Linked DNA regions of Arabidopsis thaliana. The protein of the gene in region 1 purifies or fractionates together with the protein of each later gene. This does not show direct contact. Each region holds a gene or a part of one and is shown in the gene's direction. Other genes may lie near its edges. The genes, in order: CKA1, AT5G27140, EIF2 GAMMA and AT2G18720.

Evidence for each region.
Region 2: the proteins of CKA1 (region 1) and AT5G27140 fractionate together in Arabidopsis thaliana (co-fractionation; one large-scale study listed by BioGRID). This does not show direct contact.
Region 3: the proteins of CKA1 (region 1) and EIF2 GAMMA fractionate together in Arabidopsis thaliana (co-fractionation; one large-scale study listed by BioGRID). This does not show direct contact.
Region 4: the proteins of CKA1 (region 1) and AT2G18720 fractionate together in Arabidopsis thaliana (co-fractionation; one large-scale study listed by BioGRID). This does not show direct contact.

Annotation. Positions count from the first base shown.
Region 1 is NC_003076.8:26,879,979-26,886,624, reverse strand, and holds CKA1 (casein kinase alpha 1), read left to right. Parts: upstream 1-2,545; 5' UTR 2,546-3,241; coding exon 3,242-3,555; intron 3,556-3,835; coding exon 3,836-3,965; intron 3,966-4,036; coding exon 4,037-4,231; intron 4,232-4,312; coding exon 4,313-4,470; intron 4,471-4,557; coding exon 4,558-4,648; intron 4,649-4,751; coding exon 4,752-4,817; intron 4,818-4,898; coding exon 4,899-4,981; intron 4,982-5,097; coding exon 5,098-5,161; intron 5,162-5,246; coding exon 5,247-5,315; intron 5,316-5,409; coding exon 5,410-5,469; 3' UTR 5,470-5,659; downstream 5,660-6,646. Other genes in the region: AT5G67385 (Phototropic-responsive NPH3 family protein), read right to left, coding at 1-87, 272-799, 926-1,540, 1,643-1,712, 1,816-1,871. UniProt on the Arabidopsis thaliana protein: Casein kinases are operationally defined by their preferential utilization of acidic proteins such as caseins as substrates. Phosphorylates casein in vitro. The alpha chain contains the catalytic site.
Region 2 is NC_003076.8:9,545,743-9,551,172, forward strand, and holds AT5G27140 (NOP56-like pre RNA processing ribonucleoprotein), read left to right. Parts: upstream 1-2,799; coding exon 2,800-2,877; intron 2,878-2,978; coding exon 2,979-3,023; intron 3,024-3,076; coding exon 3,077-3,169; intron 3,170-3,248; coding exon 3,249-3,413; intron 3,414-3,493; coding exon 3,494-3,694; intron 3,695-3,790; coding exon 3,791-4,288; intron 4,289-4,359; coding exon 4,360-4,632; downstream 4,633-5,430. Other genes in the region: AGL39 (AGAMOUS-like 39), read left to right, coding at 891-1,811. UniProt on the Arabidopsis thaliana protein: Required for 60S ribosomal subunit biogenesis.
Region 3 is NC_003070.9:1,094,589-1,100,917, forward strand, and holds EIF2 GAMMA (eukaryotic translation initiation factor 2 gamma subunit), read left to right. Parts: upstream 1-2,293; 5' UTR 2,294-2,532; exon of another isoform or gene 2,533-2,698; intron 2,699-2,810; 5' UTR 2,811-2,834; coding exon 2,835-2,943; intron 2,944-3,030; coding exon 3,031-3,092; intron 3,093-3,211; coding exon 3,212-3,324; intron 3,325-3,410; coding exon 3,411-3,513; intron 3,514-3,790; coding exon 3,791-4,018; intron 4,019-4,129; coding exon 4,130-4,348; intron 4,349-4,448; coding exon 4,449-4,709; intron 4,710-4,811; coding exon 4,812-5,114; 3' UTR 5,115-5,313; downstream 5,314-6,329. Other genes in the region: XIB (myosin XI B), read left to right, coding at 1-154, 313-441, 519-589, 759-855, 930-986, 1,077-1,133, 1,216-1,379, 1,447-1,558.
Region 4 is NC_003071.7:8,113,971-8,119,659, reverse strand, and holds AT2G18720 (Translation elongation factor EF1A/initiation factor IF2gamma family protein), read left to right. Parts: upstream 1-2,661; 5' UTR 2,662-2,682; intron 2,683-2,848; exon of another isoform or gene 2,849-2,890; 5' UTR 2,891-2,900; coding exon 2,901-3,024; intron 3,025-3,122; coding exon 3,123-3,291; intron 3,292-3,321; exon of another isoform or gene 3,322-3,347; coding exon of another isoform or gene 3,348-3,367; coding exon 3,368-3,470; intron 3,471-3,553; coding exon 3,554-3,781; intron 3,782-3,866; coding exon 3,867-4,085; intron 4,086-4,170; coding exon 4,171-4,740; 3' UTR 4,741-4,805; downstream 4,806-5,689. Other genes in the region: DGK3 (diacylglycerol kinase 3), read right to left, coding at 1-4, 325-684; AT2G18721 (uncharacterized protein), read right to left, coding at 2,554-2,661; SCY1 (SECY homolog 1), read left to right, coding at 5,208-5,410, 5,621-5,689.

The DNA of each region.
Region 1 (6,646 bases):
ATGAGCGCAGGCTTCTCGTGATAGTTTTTGGCAGTCCATTAAGCTGCACACTTTCTTCCTCTCTACATCACTCATATTGGGATGCGCCTGCAAGAAAAAACCATAGTTGTTCACTAGAGCTCTCTTAAAGTTTTTCAAAATCTCTAAGATAATGGGAACTTGATCATCTCCTTAACCACAAGATGTCAAATATTTACCAGTTTTTGTAGTCTCATCTAAACGGATTCGGTATAGAGCAAATGAATGTAAATGTTTACTAACTTAATATTACCTTAAGGTAGATGTCGACGGCTCGATACATACCATCTTCAGTAACCCTAGACTGTTCGGGGATAAGTTCAGCTAAACCGATGAATTTCTGCAAGCTCACATTTCTATCAGAAGCAATTTCAGCCATATAATTCTCCAAAAGTTTACCAACACGTTCCATATCACCAGCAAGATCAACACCATTATTGCTTAAGCGAACTCCTTCGACTTCAAACTCGAGATAATTCATGAGAATGCGTTGAACAGTGTCAGTATCAAACATGGAGTGATCTCCAGTGAATGAATAAGAAGGAATCAAGAGATCATCGAGCACGGCTTGTCCTAATTGTAATCCCATTCTGTTTTCCAAGTCAAGTCTACAAGCAACCGTTGTTTCGAGGAATATTGCTGCGCGTAGAAGCATAGAGAGAAAGCTAACCGACATTGCATTTTTCTCTCGAGGAAGAAGGCTTACGATTGTTTCAAGAATCACTCTTTTCTCGTGTTCTTGTTTTGGCTCAATCTTCTTCATTCCTTTCCCGAAAATTTCCTGCATTTGCAAAGAAACGAAACAAACTTTTAACGGATACCCATCATTCTTTGTCCCTAGTTTATGGAACTTCAACAAAAGAAGAGACTCAACCAAAATGGTAATGTGTGTTTGTAAGAAACTCACCAACCCTCGAAGAGATTTCTGAGCATAGAGCATAAGCACTGGACCAAGTCCATACTGCTTAAACCCTCTAGCCATCATCGCGATCAGGACACGTTGAAACGAATCAATCCTAAGAACCGTTAAGTCTTCAGCCCACCAATCAACAACAGGCTGCTTGCTCTGCTGCTGAACCACAACCTCATTGTTACCGCTATTACTTGAAGAAGGACTGCAAAAATGGCTCTCTTGACAAGTCATATAAGCAATTGCATCGATGCAACGGCTTACAAGTTTGACTCTTTCAGCAATGGGCAACAACTTCTCTGATTTGTGCAAGACTGTGATCGAACTCGATAAGCTCTTGAGAGCTACTTCATTCAAGTAAGCTTCGGCTCTTACAACGAGATTTTCCACAGAGTGTTCCTCTGTCATCTCTAGATACTCCGCTGCACATCGCAACATGGCAATGTTCTCTGTGCTCATATCAAAGTTAATGCCGTAGCAGAACTTAGCCGCTAGCTCAAATGCTTCAGAGCCTCCTGGAATATCTGGTATCTTGATAACAGTGGAATCTGAATCTTTGCTTGATTCCGACACAAGTTTCTTGATAAACCCACATTTTGACATGAGTGGAAACTGCAAGATTCAGAGAGAAAACAACCGAATCGGCACGAATGTGATCATGTCATTGGCTTTACATCAGAGAGATTGATCGCTAAATACAGATCTATAATCTACCTTGTGCAGTGAAAACGAAGCTTCTCCTACATGAACGGTGACATCACTAGATACTTCTTGAGAAGAAATCCTGAAACGATGTAATAAAGAGTATTATAAACGATTTCTACTTCAGGACTGGAAACAAAAAATGGATTGAGAAACAAAATAATCTTATGAAGAGAATAAAAAACCATTCACTGGTTCTTTTCATAGCTGAGGACAAAAGATCTTTCTTCTTTGCTGACATATTACGAACACTTAGCTCGCAGTTTCTTTTCACTCAAGAAATTCACCATGGAACACTATTTCAAGTCCTTCTCATGAAGAAGACGTGCCGTAATGTACTACTAAAAGAGAGAGAATAAGATCAAGAAAATGAGCTTCTTCCTCTCTTTTGATAATTGTGACCAAACAGAAAAAGAGAACTCAAATTCTCCAAACAAAGAAAACCATAAACTACCCTTACCACCAAAAGCAATGAACAAGACAGAACAGGGTAGTTATGTCATTCTAATGGAGAGTACAAGATAGGGAGTCAGTCTAAGGAGGGAGTGTGTGTGGTAATGGATTGGTTTAAAAATTGAGAAGAGTCCAAGTGGATCAGACACACATCTTTGTACCAAACTAATAATTCCAAATTATAAAAAAGAGAGTATTGATTCCTCTCCACAAATGTATATATCCCTTACAAATATTAGCTATAAATTGGTTTAGTGGTAAGAAGAAGAGAAGGAAGGAGTATATAAGTAAGCTGCAGAATCTTGGTTTTGTGACAGAACATGAATGATGGGATATTTGTCCCTACAGAGAGTCTTATCATCTTTTTTTCTGATAATTGAAGTCACTATATGCCTCAACATTTTGATTGAGACTCTACTCAATCTTGCAATAAATTGTGTCTCTTGAATAATATAAGACGTCCTCAACGAAAAATTCAAAATTTTCAAATAATTGCAAACAATAAAAACAGAGGATGATACATGAATCTGAGTTTTTACCTCTAGTTGTTTTTCATGGCTTGGTCAGCTAAATGAGTAAAGACGACAGAATCTTCCCTCGAGTTCTCAACATTGGAATCAAAAATCAGTATTGTTAACCAATTCAACCCCTTCAAGATCAATAGCTTTTTGCAGTCTTCCACACTATACATTGAGCCTCTTCATCCATCAAATGCCTCAACTCCTAAAACAACCATAGCGTAATCTTCGCGTGTATCAACCAATTAGCTGTTACATTTGTCGGAGAACCCATTGATAGTGATAGGAGTCTGAACAATCTTTAAATGGCTTTGTCGCAGCCTCCTTGATGAATCGTGGGGACACAGATAGAAAGTTTCCACCTTTTACTTGCCCATTATTGCAGACTTTCTCGAGACTTAGCTCCATTATCACTGATCGAATCCTCGCTTAATGCAAATCCGAAATTTCAAAAGCTTCCCAAAAATAAGAACCCTAACATGTATATAAGCGGGTGGACTATTTGGGTCCAAATATATTGGGCCATAAATAAAGCCCATTATACTATGTCAGGCCTTTATGGCAAATTTAGTTGGCGCAAAAATAACGCAAACGAAAAAAGGAAAACAAAAAGTTAATCTGGTGCGGAAGAGCGTAGTGAATGATAGATACGCTTTTCTTCTTGTTCTTCCTCTTCTTCGATTCTCCTCTTCGACGTCTCTTGTTACTGTGCGCCGTCTTAGCCTTACGTGCGCCAACGGCGCACTCTCCTATCCTACGCTCATCTATCGTCACTCCCACAGCGAGAGCTGTCTCGGAAGTTTCCGGTTGTACTACGATCGATCCAGATTTTCTCGTAGAGATCTCTGATTCTAACCAGACGCGGGCGATGTCGAAAGCTCGTGTGTACACCGAAGTCAATGTGATTCGACCCAAGGATTATTGGGATTACGAGTCACTCATTGTTCAATGGGGGTAAGATTGTTAAACCCTAGAATTAGCTGAATTGGTAGTTGCTAAAGTAATTTAATCGATTTTTGTAGTGTTTGTATTGAATTTGAATTCAGCTTGCTCTGGATTTGCTTCTTGATGAAGCTAATCTAATCAAATTGATGCTGCTAATGTAAAAAACTTTACTTTTATCTCTATTGATGAATTTGATTTTTTAGTTGTGCTTATTTTGCCTTTTAGTTCTTCTATTGTAAAGCAATGATTTTTTAGTTTAACATTTTGATCTTGTTATTTGCTCTCTCAGGGAGCAAGATGATTATGAGGTAGTAAGGAAGGTAGGGCGTGGAAAATATAGTGAAGTTTTCGAGGGTATAAATGTGAACAGCAAGGAGAAGTGCATTATCAAAATCCTCAAACCTGTTAAGAAAAAGAAGGTGAATTGTTTTACATTGTTTTGGATGATTGGGGTTGTTTCTTGAATCTCTCTATGATCTTTTTTTCGTAGATAAGAAGAGAGATTAAAATACTTCAGAACCTATGCGGTGGGCCAAATATTGTCAAGCTGCTTGATGTTGTTAGAGATCAACATTCGAAAACTCCAAGCTTGATATTTGAATATGTTAACAGCACAGACTTTAAAGTTTTGTATCCTACGTTGACTGATTACGACATTCGTTACTACATCTATGAGCTGTTGAAGGTATAAATTCTGGTATTGGTTGGATTATATAAGTATTCCATTTGACTTCATACTCACATTTGGTAAGACTACTTGTTGCAGGCACTAGACTTCTGCCATTCACAAGGAATAATGCACAGAGACGTCAAGCCTCATAATGTTATGATTGACCATGAGCTGCGTAAGCTTCGTCTTATAGATTGGGGTCTTGCTGAGTTTTACCACCCTGGAAAAGAGTATAATGTCCGTGTTGCCTCAAGGTATGGTTTTACTTCATACCCTTTATTTTATTTTTTTCGCTGTTGCCTAGCTTCACTCTAATGTTTATCTCTCCTAATGTGTATCAGATATTTCAAGGGACCTGAACTTCTTGTGGACTTGCAAGACTATGACTATTCATTGGATATGTGGAGTCTTGGCTGTATGTTTGCAGGGATGGTAAGTTCATGATATAACATTTGAACGGCTTTCCTTTCTTTTCTGAGAAATGAACTTGTGGTGATCTAATTTTGACCTAATTTTTCCTCATTACCCATATTAGATATTCCGTAAGGAACCTTTCTTCTACGGCCATGACAACCAGGATCAGCTAGTGAAAATCGCCAAGGTATATTACTTGTAATTCAGTATTAGAATATGGGAGATCTCCGTTCCATTGTCGTCATGAACTCTCCTTCTTATTCACCAGGTGCTTGGGACTGACGAATTGAATGCTTATCTGAACAAGTACCAGTTAGAACTTGATCCACAACTGGAAGCACTTGTTGGGCGGTATGTGAAACTTAAACATTATATTGTAATCTCCGAGCTTGGCATTGCCATGTAATGAGCTGAAGCTGAGAATTAGTGTTGTATCATTCTCTGGTTCAATGGAACACAACCTACAGGCATAGCAGGAAACCTTGGTCCAAATTCATCAACGCAGACAATCAGCACTTAGTTTCACCCGAGGTTTACTCCTTTCCTTGAGTCCTTAACTCCTTGTATAGAAAATGGTTTAGTTGGGTTCTTAAGGGTTTTGTTTAAAACGGTGTAGGCGATTGATTTCCTCGACAAGCTACTTCGGTATGATCATCAAGACAGATTAACTGCAAAAGAAGCCATGGTACGCATGCTTCAGAAAACAAATTAGAAGCCTTTGTATTTGTATATAAATCACATATTAGGTAAATTAATATGGTTTGTTGATTTGTTGACAGGCGCACGCTTACTTCGCCCAAGTTAGGGCAGCAGAAACCAGCAGAATGAGAAGTCAATGAAACACAGAGATCTCTCTGTCTATAAACTTACTGATGATGATGATGGTAATGTTCATCTTTTCTTCAAAGTATTTTTTTTAAATCAAGGTGATGTTTCTTCTGTCCAACTTATTAAACAATTTGTCCTGAATTCGAATGTCTGAAACGTCTTATATTTTAAATATATTTTTCATGTATGTTGTATCAAACCAAAAAAAAAAAAACAGAATTACAATAAAACAAAAAAACGTACTAGTTTTATTTAATTATTTTTAATGTTTTTCTGCTCATTCGTATTACTACTATCGCAATTGTTTTTACCAAAATAAACAAAAAACGTACTAATATTATTTAACTATTTTTTGAATATTTAAATGATTTTATAAGAAAATATTTTTTCATTATTAAAATAAAATTAGAATCTTTTACATTAAAGTACCAGTAATTTTGGAAAATAAATTTCCATGTTTAATAATACGTTAATTAAAACCTTAATTAAATAAAAACTTTGGTTTGTATTTTCGTTAATGAAATCTTTGTTTTATATTTTCGTTGCCATAATGAATTCTTTTTTTTATTTTTCAAAGACATTGTACAATATATCGAATAAGATACTTAAATAAATTTGTATCTAAACTTATTCGATATCTTTTAAGAAATAAAGAGTGAAGAAAATTAAAGTTAGTTAAGAAATAAAAATGTTGATTATGTTGCAAATTCATAAAGAGAAAAAAAAATCAATCAAAATTAAAGTGGTTTGTTAAAAACTAAAATTAGTCTAGTTGACGAAGATGAATTTGTTAGTTACTTTAGTGTTAAAAAAAATTGCGATAGTAATACGAATGAGCAGAAAAACATTAAAAATGAAAACGACAAGAAATATGTAAAATGGGCCTAACTTCCTAGGCCTGAAAACGAAAAGGCCGTAAGGTAATTAGTAAGCCCACATTAGAAGACAATTTGTATGGTAAATAATTAACTATTCATTGGAAAATAAATAACCACTTGCACTATAAGCGAGTTATCACCACGCGCCACAAATCTGTAGGTTAACCCCTTTTGAAATTAGCCATTTTTGGATATTTGAGGAAATTAAGCGCGTCTGCCTGATTATTTTTGCATTATGGGCTCCTCGTCTTGTGATCGATATATGACTGAAATGGGCCATTTAATAAAAGCCAATTAAGTAAAACGGGGC
Region 2 (5,430 bases), about 17 Mb from region 1:
CATATACATTTTTGCCGCCATTTTGTGAAATAAATCTTAGAGTTGGAACTTATTTATAATGGCTGCCACTAGCTTTTAATTATTGTTTTTTTTGCAATAAATTAATTAACAAGCAAAAAAAATTCCAAATATATTCTAATCCCATATATCACGCAGATTTCTCCAAAATTGAACTAAATTTCGGTAACTATTTAAAACAAAAAATGTTTGACAAACCAAAATACAATTGCAATCCCTTAAAATGAGCAAAATGCACCTAAATACATTTCTTATCAATTCACTAAATCTAATTTCTCCAAAATTTGAATTAGATTTCGACAAATATTTTTAAAAAAATTTGTTTGACAAACTAAAATACAATTGCAATCCCGTAAAATATTTATTTTAATTATATATTTAAATTAACGGTGTACCACTGGGTTTTTTTACGGGACGAGTTTGGCGGAACGGGTTTGAAAGAACGTTACTTAATAACAATTGTAAACTATAAAATATTTTTATTTTATAGATAGATATAATTTGCAAACTTTTATATATACTGATTTAAAAAAATAAATTATTTCTACGGTATAACGCGGGTTAAAATCTAATATTTAGATAATTTTGAATATCCAATATATATGTTTAATTGTTTATAGTAGTAATAATTTTTTTCTGCTATTGTTGTAATAAAAGAAATCTCTAAAACGTTTTAGTAGGAAAGAAAAAAAACGTTAAATGCATAGAAATAAAGTTGGGCAGTAAAAGGAAAACAACAAGACCTAATTAAGTTTGACATATATAACTCAGGCGGCTATTACATCTATAAATATGGGTAATATATCTATCTTGCTTCTACTCTCTCTTTTCACTTTTTCTCTGTGTCTATTTGTCTCTCCGTAAGAAACATTATGCCTTCATCTGATTCCACGATGATGAAGAAAGGAACAAAGCGCAAAATCGAAATAAAGAAACGAGAAACCAAAGAGCAACGAGCCGTGACTTGCTCTAAACGCCGTCAAACTGTTTTTTCCAAAGCCGCCGATCTCTGTCTTATCTCCGGTGCTAACATCGCCGTCTTCGTAACCTCTCCCTCCGATAGTTCCGATGTTGTCTATTCCTTCTCCGGTTACTCCTCTGCCTACGAAATCGCTGATTGTTACCTAAATCGCAAGCCTCCACCCAAGATTGTTAACCCGGCCGGATCCAAACTAGGATTTTGGTGGGAAGACCCTGATCTCTACCATTCGTGTGATGATCTCTCTGAGTTAAGCATTATCGAGGATCGTTTACAGAGAATGAAGAAGCATGTGATGGCTTGCCTTGAGAAGGAAGAAAAATCTCAACTTGTTTCTAGTTTCGACCAAAACCCTAATAGTACTTGTTCTCTCGACGTCGAGGATTGTGATGGATCTTCTTATTCGCAAATTGCTTCTACTTTTACTCCAAACTCTGTCAACGAGTATTGCAGCGATCAAACCTTTTCTTCTTTCCATGGCGATCAAAACCCTAACCTCTCGTCTCCGTCTTTTGATCAGGACTGTTACTCCTCTCTCTATCAGATCTGTGGAGAATCATCTTCACAAGTTGCTTCTTTTGATCAAAACCCTAGCTCCGAGATCCAAGGATTTGAAACAGAGGAAGAGATTAACCAAATCAATCTACTACTACAAGAAACACAAACAGAGGCCAATGTCAATTTGGATGATGAGATCTGCTTTTGGAATGATCTATCCAACGATGATGTGTTTGGTCTAAACAGCTACTTCGGTCTCGATAACACCAATGCAATGATCAACTTCGGAGATTCCGACTTTAGACGTCATGTCTGATATGATGTGGTTGTAATCTTCAGAACTTGTTCTGATTTTGTCTCATTGTAAACAGAGATTCTTGATCCAATTTAAGTTTTTGTAAACCTTTTTTCCTTTATTGTTTGATACTCTGATGTGAACCCTTTCGAAGTTGAAAGTAAATTGTTTGAATCAGTTTTGCAATTCCACTTACTAGTTTGTTGATGTTAAATTCAAGTTAGTGATTTGAATTTGGATTCTCAGAAAAGAAGAACACAGTTTTTGGAGCTTTTGCTTGTAATTTTACATGAGTTTTAGCCTTTAGCTGAACACTTTTTGATTCCTTAATGGTCATCTTGTTAGGTGATGTGTTTGAACTTTGAACAGAGTACTTGAGATTAATTTAAGATTATGTATGTAACGTAGATTAGATGAACATATTTATACCAACATTTTATTAAAAAAGTAACTATAATCATTTTTCGAATTAGTAATTAATTTTATAGTTTCTTTAAGGTAATCATATATTTTACAATTTGTATATTAAAATTAGCAGATCAAACTCTGTTTTTGATAGAGAATAAATAAACTTTGTTTTTGATAATCTTTTCCCTTAGAAGTAAGGTCGGTTATTTTGACATCTTTAAAAATTAATTGTATAATTCTTTTTAGAAATATACCATTTTAAGAAAATAAGAATAGTTTTTTTTTTAAAGGTTTTTTTTTAGTTTTTTGTGAAAATTATATTTTCACATGTTTTTTTTCCGTAACTTTTTAATAGAAAATCATATATTTATTTTCTTATATATATAGATCGTCGATTAAGAATCTCGAACCCTTATAGCAAATTCGTTGCTCCTCTTTTTTTCTTTCTCTAACGCAGCAGCTTTGCTTAAATCCTCTTAGGTATTTATTGAATCTTTCTCCGTTGTCAGTGGAACGTGGCTTCCAAGTATTAGTTTTTGACTAAGTATAGTTCTGACTTTGAGATGTTGAGTTGATTAAAGGGTTTCTCGTAATCTTAAAGATGCTCGTACTGTTTGAGACGTCAGGTGGTTTTGCACTCTTTAAAGTATTAGATGAAGGAAAGCTCTCTAATGTTGAGGTTATTTACCTTATTCATTCTCTTACTTTCATTGATCTTAACCTTGTCTATATGTGTCGTTTGTTTTTAATATTCTAAGTATGTCAAATTTGTTCTTGTAGGATTTGGGTACTGAGTTCTACTCTGCAGAGTCAGCTCGAAGGATGGTTAAGCTAAAAGCTTTTCATAAGTTTGACAACACATCTGAACTCCAAGCAAGGGTCTACACAAGTTTTTGAAAAATAACTGTGATGATGGTGAAATCTTAGCTGTGGCTGATCCAAAGCTTGGAGATATCATCACAGAGAAACTGGTGTGTATTTTGTTATGATCTTTTACATATTTCTGTATATATATGGCTTGTGTCTTACGGATTTGCTTCTCTCCTCTAGGACATAGAATGTGTTCACAACGATGCTGTTATGGAGCTGTTACGAGGTGTGAGAAGTCAGTTAACCGAACTTTTATCCGGATTGGATGATAATGATTTAGCTCCAGTGAGCTTGGAATTGTCTCACATCCTTGCTAGATATAAACTAAAAATCACCTCTGACAAGGTAGTCATTGAGTTCTCTGTGTTTTGTTTTACCCTTGCTTATGTTACTTTTCCCCTCTCATACTTAAAATGTTTTGTTAGGTGGAGACCATGATAATCCTATCTATCAGTCTGCTTGATGATCTTGACAAAGAGCTTAACACTTACACTACGAGCGTTTGTGAATTGTACGGTTTGCATTTTCCCGAGCTTGCTAATATTGTACAGGACAATATCTTATATGCCAAGGTGGTTAAACTAATGGGGAATCGGATTAATGCTGCAACGCTAGACTTCTCTGAGGTAAAGCCTTATTTACCATTCTCCTTGACTTTTTGTTTCCATTAAACTATAGTTTTGTCTTTATGAAACATCTTTCTGTGTCCAATGTCATCTCAGATATTGGCTGATGAAGTTGAAGCAGAACTAAAAGAGGCTTCTATGGTGTCTACGAGAACTGAAGTCAGTGACCTTGATTTGATGCACATCCAAGAACTCTGTGACCAAGTTCTTTCAATCGCTGAGGACAAAACTCTGCTTTGTGACGACTTGAAGAACAAAATGAACAAAATTGCACCAAATCTAACTGCCCTTGTCGGGGAGCTAGTCGGTGCTCGCTTAATATCTCATTGTGGTAGTTTATGGAACCTCTCAAAGCTACCATGGAGCACAATTCAGATTCTTGGAGCTGAAAAGACCCTATATAAAGCCCTTAAGACCAAACAAGCCACTCCAAAGTATGGTTTAATCTACCACGCACCTTTGGTTAGGCAAGCTGCACCAGAGAACAAGGGTAAAATCGCACGTTCACTAGCTGCAAAATCTGCTCTTGCTATCCGGTGTGATGCTTTTGGTAATGGCCAAGACAACACTATGGGAGTCGAAAGCCGCTTAAAGGTATTCTTCTCTCCCGCCCGATCCTATCTACATTTTTCTTCCTTCTTTGATGGTCTAATTTTTTTCGACAGCTTGAAGCGCGCTTGAGAAATCTTGAAGGAGGAGATTTAGGAGCATGCGAAGAAGAAGAAGAAGTTAATGACAAAGATACAAAGAAGGAGGCTGATGATGAGGAAGAACCCAAAACTGAGGAGTGTTCGAAGAAGAGGAAGAAAGAAGCAGAACTTGAAACCGTGGAAGATCCCGCAAAGAAGAGCAAACAAGAGGGTGTAACAGGATTATTACTCCTGATGCTTTTAATTTCTCTAATCTATTTCTTTTCTGTTAACCAGTTGCTATGGTAAGCCATTAGCTCAGATATACAAAATTATGCGTGAGTAACACGTCTAGTTTCTTGACGTTTTGTTAGGATCATGTTGATACTCTTTCAAAGTCATTCAATTCAAAAACGGTTTCCCTTGTCATTTGGTTCGGTAGACTTGACAAAAAAAATAATCAGTTAAAGATGTGGTTAAGACCAACAAATATGTTCACAAGAACGTAAACATCAAGGTTCTGTCGCTTTAGACTTGATTTACAAGTGGATTTAAACATGATTAATTCACAAGCTAAACATCCATAAGAGTTGGATAAAAAAAAAATCCAATTCCATAAATAAATGAAAGAGAAAAGTGGATCAAAAACAAAATCAAATTTGTAAAAAGGTTATGTGGCTTTGAATTCCATAACCTTTGAATCACTCAATCGAACCTATTGAAATTGCGATGCTACTAAGAGCCGGACCATAACACATGAACATGAAACATTACAGTGGCCCCCATTCTAAAGGGGCCTCAAAGAAATTTTATTTTAGTTATATATACATATATTGATTTTTGATAATGGGAGAAAATAGTTAGTTTTATACATATAAATCCTAAATAACTGTGTGGTCCAAAATATTTGAGAATATTATTGTACTTTTGTTTTTAACTCCAGAATTTTGTTTAAATTAGTTTCTATTTACTCTATAATTTTTAAGATAAGAGTACTTTGTTTTCGTAATTTAAATAGGGCCCCGGATTTCATTGATCCGGCTTTAGGCTCTAGAAAATGCCTTATATGTATGTTGAACAAAAATGCAGAAACCTTGAGATATCCAT
Region 3 (6,329 bases), on another chromosome or scaffold:
AGCTGCTGCTCTTGCGGTGATCCGCCCAGTGGAGGCAAAATACCCGGCTCTGCTTTTCAAGCAACAGCTTGCAGCATATGTGGAGAAAATATTTGGGATGATTAGGGATAACTTGAAGAAAGAGCTCTCAGCTTTAATATCTATGTGCATTCAGGTTTCATTGACTTCTCTCTTTGCAGCTATATATTTTTGTCCTGACTTTACGTTGTTGTATCCTAATGCTGTGACCACTCGCTTGTTGCGTTGCACCTTGATAATAAATGTGTTTTACTATTGTAACAAGTCCTGTTCTGTCAAAACTTTGAACTTCAGGCACCGAGAATTTCAAAAGGAGGGATACAAAGATCTGCTAGATCTCTTGGAAAAGATTCTCCTGCTATTCACTGGCAGAGCATTATTGATGGTCTCAATTCGCTGCTTGCCATATTGAAAGATAATTATGTAAGGAAATAGTAAAAGTTCCATGACATTATTCTGTTTTCAAATCCTCAAATTCTCATATGTTTCATGGTGTACAGGTTCCTTTGGTACTCATCCAGAAGATACACACTCAAACTTTCTCGTTCGTCAATGTGCAACTATTTAACAGGTAAATAATACTTGAGAATTACATCTAATGGTTTCTACACACCTTATCATCGATACTCGTCAAAGTACAAACCTTCCTATGGTTGATATTTCTCAAATTCCTATGGAAGATATAAGCCAAGATCACTAGTGTTTTCTTACTTGGTTTTTTCCTTAACATCTTACAATAGCCTTCTACTGCGTAAAGAGTGTTGTACATTCAGCAATGGAGAATTTGTAAAGTCTGGGCTTGCAGAGCTAGAATTGTGGTGCGGCCAAGTCAATGAAGTAAGTTCCTACCTCACGTTTTCCTTCCGGAAAAAGTTTCTTTCGGCTCATTATATCATTCTTTGATTTTGCAGTATGCTGGGCCATCTTGGGATGAACTGAAACACATCAGACAAGCTGTTGGGTTCCTGGTATGTTTTACTCTTGTTTAATACTAACTTGTGGAACTCTTGTTTCTTGAATCTTCAAAAACGAATACTTCTCCTCTCGTAACTTATCAGGTTATCCACCAGAAGTACAGAGTATCATACGATGATATAGTACATGATCTTTGCCCGGTAAAGCTCCTTCTTAGTTTCTAGAAACACGTTTTTGCCTAGACTCCATACTTAATGGCTTTCTTGTTTCACTTTATTACAGATCCTTAGTGTCCAACAACTTTACCGGATATGCACATTATACTGGGACGACTGCTATAACACCCGAAGTGTGTCTCAAGAGGTAATATCGAGCATGCGTGCGCTCATGACAGAAGAATCCAACGATGCCGACAGCAATTCCTTCTTGTTGGATGATAATTCCAGGTAACTCGAATCATTTCTTAAAGATTAATATCAGTAGTAGAAACTAAAACCGGTTTATTGTTCGCAGCATTCCCTTCTCAATAGACGAGATTTCGAATTCGATGCACGAAAAAGACTTTGCGAGTGTCAAACCGGCCAAAGAGCTACTGGAAAACCCAGAATTCGTATTCTTGCACTAGTGAGAAGCTCGGATTCTAAAAAAGCTCTTCCTCTGTTTCTTTTTAGTCTGAGTGGGGGAGGGGTGCCTTCTTGAACCAAAAGGAAAGAAGATTACAAAAGTGTAAATTTTTACTTCTTGTGGGGTTGTTTCTTTCTTGCAAAACCTCTGTGATTTCTCTCTCACCAATTCATTCATTTATTTATTTGACCCCATTTCAAAGTTTTTTCTCCATTTTAGACCCAAGATTATTATCTGGTTTTTTTTTTTCACGGCTCAAGTTCTACACGATGAAGATCCTTTGTTGTTGTTGTACAGAATTAATCTACTTAATTTGTTATAAACTTGCCCCAACTCTTTTCAGTGATTTTTTTTTAAAAAATTTGGGACTCAATCAAACTCCATTACACCTGGTGATATTGGTTTAAAACCAACGTTTCTGACTTCAACAGCCGAGATTCAAAGACTTCAAAACCTTCCAAAAAAAAACAAATTCATAACTGGTTCGGAAAGATAAATTGACAAACCCGAGAGAGATAGAGGAACACGAACGCTTATAGTCGATCGCAAATAGGCCTTTCACTTGAGGTGTCTGTCTCAAGTTCGAATTCTAAAAGTTTTATGGTTTTTTTTGTTTAACTGTGTTTTATGTTGGGCCAAATTGTTTTTTGCTTTTAGGCATTAAATTTAGTCGGGCCGGCCCTGCACATAAAATTAATATGATGAAATGTTTTGGGTTTGATACTTTGATTCATAGAAAAAGTAAATTAGTCTCTACTGATAGTAATTTAATTAAATACTAGTATTTCATTATTTTGTAAGAAATTTTAGAAAGGGAAAAAAAAAAAAGGTTACGCGAAGGAAACCAAAAACCCTTTAGGGACTTGGATAGAAAAAAAAAAACCATTTTGTGCATCTTCTTCAAGCTGCGCCGCTTTCTCACTCTTTTTTATCTCTCAAATTTGACCTTCTCCGTTGTTCTTTCGCATCGCTCAGGTTCGTTTCGATCTCGAATTACATCTCCTACGGATTCAATATTTGTTCAACCTAATTGTTCCCATTTCTATCGCACGAAGATTAGTTCGGGGAATCTAATCGTAATCATAATGTTTTTTTAGATTGCGAATCGAAATTATTGTGATATTTAGGTAACGGAGCTCAGGTATAGAATCTGTGTGTCGACTTGATTAGGGCAGATGTAGAAAAACCTGAGAAGTAGTCTTTTTCAGATTAACTAGGGTTAGGGTTCTGATTTGATGCTCGGTTTTAAGCAGGAGCAGAAGCTTCAATCTTTGATAATGTCGAGGAACAAGGGTTTGGCTGAGCAAGATCTTAAAAAATTGGATGTAACTGTGCTACATCCTCTGTCTCCTGAGGTCATTTCTCGCCAGGCCACTATTAATATAGGTAACGCTTTTTTGAGTCTTTTATATAAGTTGATGTTGAAGAAACTGGCAGTTCCTATAAGCTAAAGATGATAGTGTTATGTTTCAGGAACCATTGGTCATGTCGCTCATGGAAAGTCCACTGTTGTTAAAGCTATTTCTGGTGTCCAGGTAAAATTTGATTATGCGGTTTTCACAATTGTAATCCTAGAGGCTTTTCTAGCTTGCAGCGTTTGATCAATTGGAGTGGGTGAAGTGATTTCTATGGTTTCCTTATCTTCTCTGTACAGACTGTCCGTTTTAAAAATGAATTGGAGCGTAACATTACCATTAAGCTTGGATATGCAAACGCCAAGATTTACAAATGTGAGGATGAGAAATGCCCTAGACCAATGTGCTACAAGTGAGTCCTTCTTACAACAGTGTTTTTATCTTCTACTTCTACTATAAGGTTTGAGTCAAGGTCTAACAACTTATCTGTTGTATTAGGGCCTACGGAAGTGGAAAGGAAGACACTCCCAATTGTGATGTCCCCGGATTTGAAAACTCCAAGATGAAACTATTGAGGCATGTCTCATTCGTTGATTGCCCGGTATGATGAGTTTTACCGTTATCTTTATTCTTCATTAATTACCATTTTCATTTGATAGTATAAGTGTATAACCATTTCATGTGTCAATGAGCTGTTCGTTTATTGTGTATTATCGATGTTGTTGTGCTCCACCTGCATGATTTTGGGTCTCTCATTTAATTGGGTGAAGGGCTTAAAGAGTGAGGGTTGATGGAGAAGTATTCATTGATGTTTCCATCTTTTGCTTTTCTTATCTCTACTTCATTCTTGTTGAATGTATTCTTGTTCTATTCTTCAGGGTCACGATATTCTCATGGCAACAATGCTTAATGGAGCAGCCATCATGGATGGTGCACTACTTTTAATCGCTGCAAATGAAACTTGTCCACAACCACAAACGTCTGAACATCTTGCTGCCGTTGAGATTATGCAACTTAAGCATATCATCATCCTTCAGAACAAGATTGATCTTATTCAAGAGAATGTTGCCATTAATCAGCACGAGGCAATTCAGAAATTTATAATGGTTAGGTTTTCTTATCTCTTAAGGATCTGTTGTAGCATTCTCATTTCGTCACTTGGTTAAGCTAAGTATTGAAGAACTTGGTTCTAAAATTTCTTTCACATCCTGTTGCAGAACACTGTTGCTGATGCTGCTCCGATCGTCCCTGTCTCAGCACAACTGAAATACAACATTGATGTGGTGTGCGAGTACATTGTCAAGAAGATCCCAATCCCTGAGAGGAATTTTGTGTCACCCCCAAATATGATAGTGATTCGGTCTTTTGATGTCAACAAACCTGGTTATGAGGTTGATGAGATCAAAGGTGGAGTTGCAGGTGGAAGTATCCTACGGGTATCTATTCTCTCTCTCTCCCTTTCTCTTGTTGTGCCTCTTAAGTACATCAAGCTTTATATGGTGTAATCAGTATCTCTTAACTACATGTATATTGTAGGGTGTTTTGAGAGTCAACCAATTAATCGAAATCCGACCTGGTATCGTTACCAAAGACGAGCGTGGCAACTCAAAATGCACTCCAATTTACTCTCGCATCATTTCACTCTACGCGGAACAGAACGAGCTTCAGTTTGCTGTTCCTGGAGGTCTAATAGGAGTTGGAACAACAATGGACCCAACTCTCACTCGTGCAGATCGATTAGTTGGTCAAGTCCTTGGTGAAATCGGTTCACTTCCTGATGTATTTGTTGAACTCGAGGTATAAACAACTCCTCACAACCATACTCTTCAGTCTTTATGGTCCTAATGGGTCTCTTAGTGTATTTTCTCCTTTTAATTTGTGGTTATGTAAAATCTGTAGGTGAACTTCTTTCTTCTACGACGTTTGTTGGGAGTGAGAACAAAGGGATCAGAGAAACAAGGGAAAGTGTCAAAGCTAACGAAAGGAGAGATTCTGATGCTCAACATTGGTTCGATGTCCACTGGAGCCAAAGTTGTAGGAGTTAAAGTCGATCTGGCTAAACTGCAACTGACTGCGCCTGTTTGTACCAGCAAAGGAGAGAAAGTGGCTCTAAGCAGACGTGTGGAAAAGCATTGGCGTTTGATTGGTTGGGGTCAGATTCAAGCTGGAACCACCATCGAAGTTCCTCCTTCACCTTTCTAAGCTATGTGTTATTTTTGTCCTTTTTGTTTGTGTTTCTGAAAAAAAGATTGTTAAACCCCTCAAAAAGATAATAAAACTCTTTTTCTCGTTGGGGGATTTTGGAGAGTTCGTCTTTGCGGATTAAACATCTTCAAACAGTACCTGATTTGTTATTGTTACTAGTTTGCTCTTTGTTATTGTTACTAGTTTGCTCTTTGTTTGTGTTTTTCTCTTAGATATTACTAAATTTTGTTGTCTCTCTTTTTTTTTTTGAAATTTTTGTCAGAGATACTCTGCTACTTGACTATACATACTTTCTTCAGAAAAGGAACAACTTCATTACTCATTAGGATCCGATCAAGTACGACTTTTTATAATAAATACGACTTTTTAGTCAAAATGTTCATGTCTTCTCTCTAAAGAACGTTATTTGTTTGCGATTTGAATTGAGTGTCTTGCCTTCCACTGTGTATATCCGTGCGAAAACTTATGTTACATAGACGGGACTGCAGAGGCAGCAAGTCTCCATTCGGCTCATCTGGAACTGTCTCAACAACACTTGCATTTGTGGTTCGCCTTCCCATTGAAATGAGAAGAATCGCTGACTGTGTTCCAAAGTGATGGGTTAACATGCCAACCTTTCATGCAGGGAAACAAGTTTAGTTACCTAGACTCCCGCAACAAATACTTGCACAAATTGAAACTCTGGAAGAAGATAAACCCGAATGGTACTTTCATCACGCACTTGCTCCACAATACCTTCTATTGGCTTGCCCTTCCACAGAGCCAAATTCTCTTCCACCAATAGCTTCCACTTTGTAATGGAGGCGCTCCTTCTTGAAGCGGGGAAAAAGCGTCCGCTCCAGGTTTTAAATTCCTTATGTGACCGTTAATCCTTAGGGGAACAAAAAAAGGAAATAAAGCCATCCAATTGAAAAAAGTGTTAAACTCATTTTAAAAAACATAATAATAATTTTCCCGAAAATTTAAAACTTAAACTTTAAAAAAATAAGTAATAATTTAACTAAAACTATGTTAATTAGAATTTGCCGTGTGAATCACGATGATACGAAGTAAATAAAAGTCTGACTATTATTAAATTTGATTTACTAACGTGTATTTGGTTAATCCAGTAGTTATACCGTGAAGCTTATGTAGCTTTATTTCTAGTCACGAATTAAAACATTAATCTATAGAATTAATTATGACCATTAATTATTTTTATGTGGAAAATAA
Region 4 (5,689 bases), on another chromosome or scaffold:
ACACCTGTATCAACACAAAAGTCACCATGAAGTTTCAATATCAAAAGCTCAAACCAATAACTTGACAACATCAACATCACTCAGCTTTCCAAAAGACTCAATCTTTAAACGTAACTCATCCTTCAAAGTTCCAACAAAACACTAGATCTAACATCAGCTAAGCATAAACATATAAATCAAGCATTAAAAACTTAAAAGCCAGAGACTTTAAGAAAGTTTCCAAACTAACATAATCAAAACACAAAGTAGATACAAATTAGATTCGAAATTCCCCCAAAAACCCAAAGAAAAAGATTTGAAATACAAGTTCAGTGAGAGCAAAACCTGTTCCTCGCTCATCAACTGTTGAAGCCTCTCTTTAAGAACAGGACCATGACGACCACCAGAATTGGGGTTAATGAAAACAACCATAGGAGCATGAGGAGCCATATCAGCAACAGCACCACCAGGAAGAAGTAAATGATCAGGAATAGCCGAGGAATCTTTGCGTTTGATACAGTCACGCATAGCGAGACGAAGATACTCAGGCATCATCAACCTCTGACGAAGCTCTACTTTATCTACACCAACCCATGCCAGATTCGCGAGTCCACAACCTCTCATCGTCTTTGAATCAGCCGTTGATGGTCGTGAAGCCACGAATTTCTCTTTCGATGCATCGGTTTTTGATACCGGAGAGTCCATTGTAGTCTCTCGCCGGAGAAGAAAAGACAAAAAGATGATTACTTTTCGTCCTGTGATTGGAGAAAATGAGGAATATTCGAAACCCAGATAATCAAAATTGGAGTTGAAATGAAAAATAATAAAGGATTGTTTTTTTTTAATCTTTCTTCTTCTTCTTTGCTGAGAGATTTCAAATCAACCAATATAAAATCTTCTTTTGACAGTTTGTATTTTCTTGTCTGTTTTGTCTTTTTTATAAATGATTTAGTTTCGAAGACAGCGCACAAAACGTGTGAATTAATTTGCTTATATTGAAAAAAAAAGAATTTACACGGTTGGATTTCAATGTGACGTCATAAAAATGCCACTCTTTAGATCTTTGATTCTTTTTCTTTTTTTATTGTTTGACATTTATGAAAGCGACTGATAAATGTTTATTTTGTAAAAGTTCTAATTTAGAATAATTTTGATTATTAATAATATTAAACTACTAAGATTTGTATAGTTTAATACCATTATCTTCTGTAACTAAGATTTGTAGATCTTTTGTTTCTGTAAGATCAAATTTACAATTTAAAGTGTACAAAATCTTACAATACTAATGATGGCATAAAGAGATTAACAATGAGATTTTTTAACGTTATTGTTATATCAAGAAAACCAGAGAAAATTAATTAGTAATTGATTGATACATTGTAAGAATAGGATCTAATGATATTTTAATATTCAAAAAGGTTCCATTATAGAGGTTACATCTGGTGAATATGATTGAATACAATTTGATATAGAGAATTAGAGATACTTGCATTATTATTTGCTTCCTATTATTATTTGACTGCATTATTGGTTTCTTTTTCTATGTAAAAAATATTTTCAACTCTCCAACAAAGAAACAAAATTCTCTGACATTTTGCTTAGAAAGAGTGGCGTTTTCGTCATTAAACAAAGGAATAGTTTTGGTGGTAACGTAAATTGTAAAAAAACAGCGAAGGAGACAATAGAAAATGAGAGCAGACATTGAAGTTAGTGGATTTTCCACAGAATGGGGCCTACAATGTTATTGCCCACTCAGAGAAATAGGGTCACTGAAAGTGATAGCTACTTCCCATTGCTGGGATCGTTGTGTACTTTTTCTAACCTAAATTTCCCTCAATGCCTTTTTCTTAACTTATAGAATTGGTCGAAACTTGAAAGTATATACAAATGCCACAGAAAAAAACATCATTTAATACCTTCTTAATTGCACGATATGATATCAGATGTTTTGTAACCAAGAATTGGTCCATGTAAACAATTTATTATGTGGCAGAGGAAGACTCAAATTCAGGTGGCTGATAAAAAGTGGGGTTTAAGATATTTCTTGAACTGGAAGACAATGAGCGTGTGTTCTCATTAGTATTACAAATCATATTTACATTATTATAAAGCGGAACATATTTACATTATACTCCAAATGATGTAACTATAAAATTTGATCTAACAATATATATCGTTAAGAAAAATAACCTAAATTTATCACAGCTTATTCATTTACACTCCTATAGAATCATAGATTTCCTACTCTTTTTTTTTTGTCATCATATAAACATATACTACTTTTTGTTCAAGGATCAATGTTTCTTAGTTTGGTGAAAGATAGAAGTAAACTGGAGTGGGCCAATGGTTAGGCGTGTAAGCCCAAACTTTGGAACGATTTTAGCCCATCTCAAAAGGAGCGTGCTATATTTTGTAAATGAAATTGCAAAATTACCTAACACAAATTTTCCTATAAAAAAACATTTCGGGTAAGAAACCGACAATTATAAAATAAAAATTGTAAGACATGTTTTATTGACACATGGAAAAATGAAGTTGGCGAAAAAGACAAACAGTAAACGTTAAGATAAAACCCTACCTATAAATATACCTTACACGCCACCTGACTTTATCAAAACCAAAAACACAAACCTTCAACGGCACGCTTTCTCCTCTGAAATCTCTGCGAGCAAACTTCTTCATCTACCTCTTACCGTACTTCAGGTTTGTGTAAATCATTTTTATAAGAACTTCAGTGAAATAGATTAGCAACCCTAATTGAATTTAATCGAATCGTAACTATTGTGAACGGAACCCATCCATCTTGCATAAAAACCCTAGTTTCTGAACAGCCTTTCGAAACTTCTAGTGTTATTGTATTGGCTCTGATCAACGTTGTTCTAAAGTTGTGAACTTTGATTGATTGCAACAGAGTGTTTAAGATGAAATCTGTCGTAATGTCGAAGAACAAGGGCTTAGCTGAACAAGATCTAAGTAAACTTGATGTAGCTCAGCTGCATCCTCTCTCTCCTGAGGTCATCTCTCGTCAAGCCACCATTAACATAGGTATACACAAGTTTTTGTTTCATTGAGTTTTGATGCTGAAGAAACTGATCAGCCGTGCATTGAAAGCTAAAGATATGACTATGCTCTCTATATCTCAGGAACCATTGGCCATGTCGCTCACGGGAAATCGACAATCGTGAAAGCCGTTTCCGGTGTGCACACTGTCAAATTCAAGAGTGAATTGGAGCGTAACATTACCATTAAACTTGGTTACGCAAACGCAAAGATTTACAAATGTGAAAAATGCCCTAGACCAGTAGCCTACAAGTGAATTCTTGCTCTTCTTTTGCTACAATAAGGTTACGTAGTGTACGTAGCAACTTATGATATGTGTTAATTATAGGTCTTTCGGGAGTGGCAAAGAAGACAACCCAAGTTGTGATGTCTCTGGACATGAGAAGTACAAGATGAAACTACTAAGACATGTCTCATTTGTTGATTGCCCGGTATAAAATGAGTTTTAACACTATTTCTAAATCTTTTGTAACCATTTTCTATATGTTAATGAGGTGTTTTGTGTGTTGATTAGGGACACGATATCCTAATGGCGACAATGCTGAATGGAGCAGCGATTATGGATGGTGCTTTACTAATCATTGCTGCGAATGAGACATGTCCACAACCACAAACAGCTGAACATCTTGCTTCTGTTGATATGATGCATCTTAAAGATATCATAATCATTCAGAACAAGATTGATCTCATCCAAGAAAACGAGGCTATTAAACAGCACGAGGACATCCAGAGATTTATAACGGTTTGATTCAATTTTCCCATTCTGTTTTTTTTTTGCATTTTTCACTTCTTGATTAGTTGGTTAAGTTTTAAACTTGTTATTACAGAACACGAATGCGGAAGGTGCTCCTATAGTTCCTGTCTCAGCGCAACTGAAATACAACATCGATGTTTTGTGTGAGTACATTGTCAAGAAGATTCCACTCCCTGTGAGGGATTTTGTGTCACCTCCAAGAATGATTGTGATTCGTTCTTTTGATGTCAATAAACCTGGCTCTGATTATGATGGTATGAAAGGTGGAGTTGCAGGTGGGAGTATCCTTCAGGTAAAACATACTCAATACCCCGAAAAACTAGGATAAATCGCGGTTGAATCAATGTAACTTATGTCTCTCTTTGCTTTGTTTGCAGGGTGTTTTGAAGGTGGGGCATATAATAGAGATAAGACCTGGAATCACTAGAAAAGATGAGAATGGAGACACTAAATGCACTCCCATTTACACGCGTATAACTTCATTGTACGCGGAACAGAACGAGCTTCAGTTTGCTGTCCCGGGAGGTTTGATTGGAATTGGGACAAGCATGGATCCTACGCTTACGCGTGGTGATAGGTTAGTTGGTCAAGTCCTTGGTGAAATAGGTACTCTCCCTGATGTCTATGTTGAACTTGAAGTGAGTTTCCAGCTTCTGACACGTCTCATTGGAGTGAAGACAAAGGAAACAGAGAGGCAAATGAGAGTGTCAAAGCTAGTCAAGGGAGAGATACTGATGTTGAATATCGGATCGATGTCTACGGGAGCTATGGTTATTGGAGTAAAGAAAGATATGGTGAAAGTTAATCTGACACTCCCTGTGTGCACCAGCATTGGAGAGAAAGTGGCTATAAGTCGCCGTGTGGATAGGCATTGGCGTTTGATCGGTCGCGGTCAGATTGAGGCTGGAACCACCATTTTTATCCCTTCTCCTCCTTCTTTGGCATGATTATATTTGATGCATTCACATATACCAAACTTGTAGTCTCATTATATCTTCAGAGTATTCCTAATCTGTCACCAAAGGAGATAACTAAACTTCTATGTGCTTATGCTTTTTGTGTGAAGTCTAACTAGAGTTTGATCAATTGCATCATCTTGATTTGTTATTAAAAGTTTTATAGTCTATGGATGTTACAGCTTAATTAACTAATTATCCTACATAGTTCATTTGAGAGAAAGATATAATTTGTGATTGTTGAAACTTGAAACTTGAAGTCTTGAAGAAACAGAAAGAAAGACTTGAAGTCATGGTCTCATTCCTAACGCCCAAAACAACAAAGATTAATAATGTGCAAAAGATGTATTGGGCCTAAAAGGCCTGGCCCATTAGCTGGATTCCGTAAGAAAAAAAAAAAAAGTGAAAAGGAAAAGAAGAAATCGTCGTTGTTGTGGAGAAGGAGAAGAAGGATAAGGATGATAACGGTAAGCGAAGTTTCCTCTTACTCTTCTTCTTCTTCAAACTTCGCGTCTCTGTCTCGTCTCAATCACAAATCATCTTCGAGATTGCGAAGCTCTTCTCTTTACAAAGGAAGCTTCTTCTCTGTTTCGACAAAGACCAGGAGGAACACTTGTAAAGCCAAATCATGGAATCTCGGTCTTGTTATCAACTCTAGAAGGTACTTCTTCTTTCAGATTTCAGATGGGTTCCATTTGAAATCGAAGATAATGATCTTGTTATAGATATTGCGACTTAAAGTTCGAAACTTTTCATGTGAATTTCTCTTGAATTGTGGAGATTTGAGGGTTATTTCATCACTAGTTCGTAGAAATGCTGATGTTTTGTCACTTACTGCTGCATTGTTTGTTGATTGGAGTTGATGTTTCAGCTCTGAGGCTTCGGTTTTTGATCCGTTGGGGATCAATCCAGATGAAACTTCTGGTTTAAGTAGCATTTG